2 linked regions of the Mus musculus genome follow. The protein of the gene in region 1 interacts with the protein of each later gene in a pairwise test. Links are inferred from orthologs where the notes say so. Each region holds a gene or a part of one and is shown on either strand. Other genes may lie near its edges. The genes, in order: Plaa and Ubxn1.

What was found.
Region 2: the proteins of Plaa (region 1) and Ubxn1 interact in binary tests that used the Homo sapiens proteins (3 or more experiments, as listed by UniProt). The two-hybrid records come from large-scale screens. The link is inferred for Mus musculus from reciprocal best matches to the Homo sapiens genes PLAA and UBXN1.

The regions. Positions count from the first base shown.
Region 1 is NC_000070.6:94,582,679-94,586,491, forward strand, and holds part of Plaa (phospholipase A-2-activating protein), read right to left. Parts: intron 3,753-3,813; coding exon 3,617-3,752; intron 1,325-3,616; coding exon 1,155-1,324; intron 894-1,154; coding exon 736-893; intron 23-735; coding exon 1-22. UniProt on the Homo sapiens protein: Plays a role in protein ubiquitination, sorting and degradation through its association with VCP. Involved in ubiquitin-mediated membrane proteins trafficking to late endosomes in an ESCRT-dependent manner, and hence plays a role in synaptic vesicle recycling.
Region 2 is NC_000085.6:8,870,402-8,874,655, forward strand, and holds the start of Ubxn1 (UBX domain-containing protein 1), read left to right. Parts: upstream 1-1,146; 5' UTR 1,147-1,296; coding exon 1,297-1,355; intron 1,356-1,457; coding exon 1,458-1,511; intron 1,512-1,606; coding exon 1,607-1,713; intron 1,714-1,816; coding exon 1,817-1,886; intron 1,887-3,112; coding exon 3,113-3,304; intron 3,305-3,393; coding exon 3,394-3,445; intron 3,446-3,737; coding exon 3,738-3,854; intron 3,855-4,254.

The sequences.
Region 1 (3,813 bases):
TTGAGAAAACATAATCAAATTCCTGTAATGGAAACAGAAAATCAAAGATAATTTACCTGTTCGAATATGTTGAAGATATATATAGCATAATATAGATGGTATGCGGTCTTTTTATTCTAACCATTTAGATTTAAAACTTTTCTCTAAAATGCAATGATAAAGTTTTCTTTTTGGCAGATAAAGAACCAAAGTGTGCATGTGCTGCAAAATTAGTTGTTTCATTACGAATGGGGCAGGTGATGGCTGAGGTGGGACTGGACTGTAATTACTTATTAATACTAGGTCCAAAAGATGATTCCCAAATGGTTGATCTTATGGTTAAAATGATCAGCTGTTAGGGTGCCCCAGTAACCATGACATACTGGCATTATAAGCACAGTCCTGCAGTGTCTCCCATGACTTCCCAAGTTTAGCAGAGACACGCATTAAGCATGAAATGGAAGAAACTCCCAATCCAAAAATTGCTGGAAACAGTTTTGTATGGGAAATTCTAAAAGACAGATAATGGCTAATTTGTCACATGTAGCTTCCTTCACATAGATTTTATACAGACATTTAAAATGCTTTAATTATATATATATCTTGATATATATTTTAAATCTATTTTAAGATAAAAGATTAATTTTTTACAATTTATTTTTAAATGTCAAAATACCAAAGAAAATTATCAGCAGAGAAAACTTCTAATTTTGTATATAGTTTAAAATAATAATTAGAAAGCAGAAATTGACATACTTTCCCTTCATATAAAACTTTTCCAGATGTTTGCTGATTAGCACCAGATGAGCCAACAACATCACCAATTTTTATCCACCTCCCGTCACTAACACTCCACTGATAGGCTTCAACTCTCTCTCCATCTCTGATTAGACGAGTCTGTCCTTCTCTAGTACCTTAAAACAAATATTTTAAGAGTCAAAGGTCGACTAGAAGAGTAAAATGCAAAAACACTTAGACATATTTTAACATGTTTTTATGGATGCTTCCAAGTTTGAAAACCTTGTCTTGTCAGTTATGTGTGACAGGACTAATCCTCAAGTATCAGTACCTGGCACTCAGAACACATGGAACGCCACCCCCCTTAGCACTGCTGATATTCCCAAAGGCAACGTGGTGGCATTCTTAGCTACAATTTCACTGTAATAAATAGTTACCTGGCTCACTGAGATGTTCCCTCCCAGGAAGCTGCTCCGCATTAATATCCCCCAAGTCACCAGTTTTGGAATCGATAGTTGCCTGAGAGAGCTCTCTCTCAAAAGCTTTGATTTCCTCAGCACTTGCTGTCCGCTCCTCTGACTCTGTAAACACCCTAATAATACCATCACTACAAGAAAAGCAGACACATTTTAAGTCATTGCCACAGTTTATTAACATTCTCTCATGTGAATAAAGCAATAATTACCTGTCTGCATGAATATGAAAAATATCACTATGCATTGTGGAGAAGTAAGCTGACTATGACATATATTACTTTTCAGCTATTTAAAAAAGTTGCTGGCAAAGGAGAAACACATTAAAACACAATTTTCAATTTTTTAAAATAACTGCCAGTGACTAAACACATCAGAACCTTGTGTCCATTAGCCTGTGCCCCCCACTGAGTTGTCTCCTAGCATTTGGTTTTTCCGAGACAGGAACTAGAACATAGCCATGGCCAGCCTTAAACTTGTTTCCCCACCTCAGCCTCTGAAGCTCTGACATTACAGGGTCACTGTGTCCAGCACAATTTTCAATTCTATATTAAGTATTTACTGCAATAATTTAGAAATACGGCATTTACTTTTTGAAATCACTACCACATAGTCAACATATACTATCAAAAAGAGTTGGCTGGGCATTGGGGAACATACAATGAGCCTGAGTTTCACAGCAAGACCCTATCTTGAAAACACAAAACTAAAACAAGCAATCAAAAAACAACAAAAACGAGTTATTGGGCCAGTTTGCTTTACAAAATTGGTTCAAAGACCCAACCTAGTCTTATGTTCAATATGTGCAAATATCCTCAAAGGAAAATATAGCTCCATGATTACCTAAATATAGTCCTCAACCTATATCCCCAAGAAAATATTCTAGTCTTATGACTACATTTCTCAATTCTGATTTTAAAGTGAGGGAGTCATGCTAGCTCGTTTAAATTGCATTAATTCTAATGAAGTCTACAGAATACTTTATTTCCTAACTTTGTAATATCCTGTTCACTTTCTCAGTTGGCTCATATTTCTTTGATGGTTACCAAGCTTCATGTGAAATATACCTATGTCGACAAATGAATCCCTGCCACAACCATAAATAAGAGGTCTACCAAAACTTCGGCACTCAGAGCTGTGACCTTTCTCTTCTGTTCCCAATGTCTAGTTTACAATCTCTTCCTAGATCAAATACTCCTTTATTTCCTTTATTTTGCTATAGATTTTCTACTAAAATGTAACAGCAATAACAGGCAGTGCCATCTTTCAAAATGAAGCCATTGCTTTTCTACCTTTCCATTCTCGGACCACTTAGCATTCTATGACACTGACAGAAAGCTCCCTCAGGCCTCTCTTCCATCTCCTCGAATTCTGACATCTAGAATCCTGTATATGTGTGTTTTAACCTACTGACCTTTCTATATCCGGAGTATTTCACAAGATTCACTGGCTAGTCTTCCGTCTCTCTTCTACACTTGTTTACTCAGAGAAAGTTCTGTGTAAATCTTCATTATCATCCTTATACTAGAATTCAAACTGACTACTCAGGACCCACTGGCAGTGTGGCAAGATACTACTCAGATTCAATAAGTCTTTTTTTCTTTTTTCTTTTGGTTTTTCAAGACAGGGTTTCCCTGGGTAGCCCTGGCTGTCCAGGAACTCACTCGGTAGATCAGGCTGGCCTCGAACTCAGAAATCCACCTGCCTCTGCCTCCCAAGTGCTGGGATTAAAGGCGTTCGCCACCATTGCCTGGCTTCAGTTAAGTCTTAAGTCAAAGTATCACCTTCTCTATGACACTAAGACCAACTTAATTCTCCCATTTTTCTATTTTTTATTAATGAAGATTACCACAAACTATTGTTTTAAGCTTTGTCCTTTTCCTGTTTTTCTCCTATTCTCTCATTCATTTATCCATTAGTGTTGTAAGGTCAGTGTTACCTCTAGTTGAACTCAATCTGCAAAAGCTATATATCCCACTTAAATCTGATCACATCTTGGTCAAGAGCTACAATCCTTTAACACTAAGCAACAAATCTAAAAAGGACCTAGCTTGAATCTTAGCTATACTCCAATCTTACTCCAGTACTTCCCTAATCTAAACACAGAACATTCACTTCTAAAGGGAACGTACTATATTATTATTTATCAGAAATTCTAATTTCCATTATTCAACTTTGAAAATCCAATTTAACTTCTCCAGAAAGTTTTTCCATAGAGATCTCTATTTTTTCTAATTTCTTTGGTATTCAGTGTTTTCACTATACAATTTATAATACTATACCACAAAGTAAGCATCAATACTTGGAAAGTTCTTATTACTGCTGTTTTACTTGATAACAAAAATGTGCAAGCAACCCTCCAATACTTAAGTACCTACCAACCACCTAGACACGGAAAATGTATTGACTGACTAGAATATAAATACCTCGCACCAACCACAATGTCACCATTTTCCAGTACGCAGCAACACCATATAGACTGAGCTGGAAGTCGGATTGTTTGGGCGCATTCACCATGTTTCCATATTCTTAGAGATCTGTCTTCTGCAGTGGTCACAAAATCTAAAATTCATGAAAATGAAATGAATTTGTTTAGATAAAATTGAGTATACTCATAAACAAT
Region 2 (4,254 bases), on another chromosome or scaffold:
GGTGGATTTCTGAGTTCGAGGCCAGCCTCATCTACAAAGTGAGTTCCAGGACAGCCAGGGCTACACAGAGAAACCCTGTCTCGAAAAACCAAAAACGAAAAAAAAAAAAAAAAAAAAAAAAAAAAAAAAGATAGCTGGGCAAGATGTTTCTGGCCTTTGATCCCTGCACTCTGGATGGCAGAGGCAGACTGATATTTGAGTTTGAGATCAGTCTCTAAAGCCAGATCCATTTAGAAAGTTCCAGAACAGCCAAGGCTTCATAATGAGATCTTGTCTCAAAAAACAAAGACAGTGATAACAATGATGATGAACATAGACTCAAGCATGCTAGACCAAATCACCACTAGACCTACTCCCTAGACTCTGATAAATAACTTACTAATAATATATATAAGAGTTATTCTCCTCCCAACTTCTTTTACATACATCACCGATGGGTGTGGTGGCACACAACTTTAGTCCTGGCACTTGGAAGACTGAGGCAGGCAGATTTTTCTGAGTTTGAGGCCTGTCTGGTCTTGGTGCCAAAAGACAGAAAGAGAAGTAAAAGAGAAAACGGAAAATTAAAAAATGCAAGGAGGTGGTGGCGACACACTCTGATCCCAGTACTGCGCTCCGGAGGCAGAGGCAAGTGGATCTCATTGGATTGCAGGCCAGCCTGGTCTACAGCGCGAGTTCCAGGACAGCCAGGACTATGCAGAGAAATCCTGTCTCAAAACACCAAAAGGAAAGAAAGAGAGAGAAAGACAGAAAGAGAGGGAGAGAGAGATAAACTTTTACTGTTTATCATGAACGCCCCGACTCGTGTGCTTAGGTCAGAGGACAACTAACAGGAATCCTTTTTCCTCTGTGCTCAACCTCGTGGGTCTTAGGAATCGAACTCACATAATTAGGCTTGAAGGCAGGTGCTTTTACCCGCCGATCCATAGCCAGGCTCTCTTTTAGAATCCTAAAAGCCTGCAAACCGGCTCAAGCCTGTCTGGAGCTTCTTCCCCGTGGGTGGGTCTCCTTCCTGTCAGTTGTCCCTCCTCAAAGTCCCCGCCCACCAGGAAGGACATTTCTGGCTCTCTTCGGCACCCGTCCACCCTGCCTCCACGTGACACAAACAGACCGGGCACTTCCGCTTCCCCTCCGCTCTCCCCACTCACTGTCTACTCCCCCCTCGTCCCTGGGTCTCCCGCCCCGTGAGTTAGCGAGCGCCGGGAGGGCGGCGTCGCGGGCGGAGTCGCCCCGGGCTGACCCTTGCGGTCTTCCTTCTGGTCCCCGCAGGTCCCCGCGGAGGCGGAGGCGGGCGCCATGGCGGAGCTGACGGCTCTGGAGAGCCTCATCGAGATGGGCTTTCCCAGGGGACGCGCGTAAGGGAGCCTCCCCCTAGCCGGTGGTGGGAGGCCGCGGGCCTGGCCGGCCTGACTGTCACCATGGCTGGTGGGCGCTATTCACGGTGTTTCTGCCCCCAGGGAGAAGGCTCTGGCCCTCACAGGGAACCAGGGCATCGAGGCTGCGATGGATTGGTGAGCGGGCGACCCGCACGGGTGGCGGGAGTTTGGGAGCCGCTGGGCAAGGTGGCCTCCAGGCTAACCAACCCCTGCCTACTTTCTCCGCGCAGGCTGATGGAGCATGAAGACGACCCCGATGTGGATGAGCCTCTGGAGACTCCCCTCAGCCATGTCCTGGGACGAGAACCCACGCCCTCAGAGCAAGTTGGCCCTGAAGGTCCTGACTGGGAGACATCTTGTGATTCTAGAGACCTTGAAAGGGCCCCGAGAAAATCAGAATGATCTTATTCTAAATACTAATCCTGGTTGCTTGTTTGCAGGCTCTGGGTCTGCTGCTGGAGAAAGCAGACCCATTTTGACTGAAGAGGAGAGACAAGAACAGACCAAGAGGTGACTGGCAAGTTCAGTGTGTGTGTGTGTGTGTGTGTTTTGTTTGGAGTCTGCCTAACTCTTGCCCAGGCTGAACTCCGGATCCTCCTGCCTCCGCCTCCAGAGTGCTGAGATGTGGCCTTCACTGTGCCTTGCATTATTTTTTTGAGACGCAGTCCAGCTGTGTACCTCAGGCTGCGCTGGAACCCCGTATGCGGCCTAGGCTAAATTCGAAGCCACATTCTTCTAGTGCTGGGATTACAGGCCTGGGCCACCATAGCCCAGTGACACACTTTACCAAGGGTCATGGGTCATCTTCCTTCCTCTCAAATACAAACAAGTCTGATCATAGAACCTGACCTTTCCGGTTTTGAGGGTGTGCTGCAAGTCACCAGGAAACATCTCACATAGCTCAGGACTGGTCTCAAACTCCTGTGTGGCTGCAGATTCCCCTGAAATCCCAACTCTCTTGCCTCTCCTTTGCAAATGCAGGGATTATAGATATGCATCACTATGCCCTTTCTTTAAAAACAAAACCAACAACAACAATAAGAAAAACCCACGCTGGGCGTGGTGGTGCACGCCTTTAATCCCAGCACTCGGAGGCAGAGGCAGGCGGATTTCTGAGTTCGAGGCCAGCCTGGTCTACAAGGTGAGCTCCAGGACAGCCAGGGCTAAACAGAAAAACCAAAAAAAAAAAAAAAGAAAGAAAGAAAGAAAAACCCACAAGGGTCTATGCATGATATATTGTGCTCTACCTTTAAACTACACTTTTTTTTTTTTTTTTTTGGCTTTGTTCTGTTTTTTTTTTTTTCTTCAAGCCAAGAGTCTCTATCCCTGACTGTCCTGGAACTGGCTCTGTAGACCAGGCTGGCCTCAAACTTGAGATTTACCTGTCTCTGCCTTCTGAACACTGAGAATAAAGGCGTGCACTGCTACCACCTAGCTTGTCCTCTTTGGTTTTTCAAGATAGGGTTTCTTTGTATAGTCCTGGCTGTCCTGGAACTAACTCTGTAGACCAGGCTGGCCTCGAACTCAGAAATCTGCCTGCCTCTGCCTTCCAAGTGCTGGGATTAAAGGCGTGTGTCACCAGGTCTGGCCCTGCTTGTCCTCTTTATATTACTGTTTTGGTTTTGTTTCCTTTCCTCTGTCTTGGAGCCCGTATTCCCTTATTTTGTTAATTTCTCAGTCTAAACTCACCTTCCCACTCCATGTCCAACTTTACCTCTTTCTTCTCTGCAAAACAGAATGTTGGAACTTGTGGCACAAAAGCAGCGGGAACGTGAAGAAAGAGAGGAGCGAGAAGCTTTAGAACGAGAAAAGCAGCGGAGGAGACAAGGGCAAGAGCTGTCAGTTGCACGACAGAAACTGCAGGAAGATGAGATGCGCCGGGCTGCGGAGGAGCGCAGGAGGGAAAAGGCTGAAGAGTTAGCTGCCAGGTCTGAAGTCTCATTGGTCGCTAATTGGGAAAGAAATGAAGATTTGCCTTGTCCATGTCTGACCTATTTTCTTCCTGTCTCTATTCTAGACAAAGGGTTCGAGAAAAAATTGAAAGGGACAAAGCAGAGAGAGCCAAGAAGGTGGGTGATTAGAAAGTCTGGGTATAGTGGAGTATGTGGGTTAATTTCCTTAAAGTGTGCTTAGCATGATTTTTTTGAGGCAATTTTACTCTAGCCCAGACTAGTGTCAGACTCATAGTATTCTCCTGCGTCAGCCTTCCAAGTACTCTAACTAAAAGCTGTGAACTGCCAAACCTCTGTGTGTGTGTGTGTGTGTGTGTGTGTGTGTTTGGCCCATGTACTGGAGGGTGACCCTTTATACATGCTAGACTAGTGTGCTCCCTCTGAGGTAGTGTTCCATTTTGTCTTTCAGTATGGTGGTAGTGTGGGTTCTCGGTCATCCCCACCAGCAACAGACCCAGGTCCTGTTCCTTCTTCTCCCAGCCAGGAGCCCCCTACTAAGCGGGAGTATGACCAGTGTCGTATACAGGTACTGTTTTCAAGTGACCGTCTTGCTTCTGGAATCCCGTGTTGGCTTATAAAGTGCCAGACAGCCCAGAGCTGTTCACGCTTAAGTCCCCTTTGCCAAATCTCTCCCTTCTTTGTACATGACTTTTGAAATCCTATCTCCTCTACTCTTTGGAAAGATCAAATTTCACCTGCCCATCTTATTTAAATCCTTACTTCATCCTTACTAAGCAGTTTTAGATTCATTACACAGCTATTTTCATAATATGGTCCTCACAGTGACTTTTAAAAGTAATTCCATCTTGTCTTGTGAGGTATCGAATCCATTACCATCACCTGCTGCGGTGGAGCATGAGTGGTTGTTCATCGGGTCCTTTAAGTAGTATTTGTCCTGGTTCAGATGCTCCAAGGGAAGCAGAGCC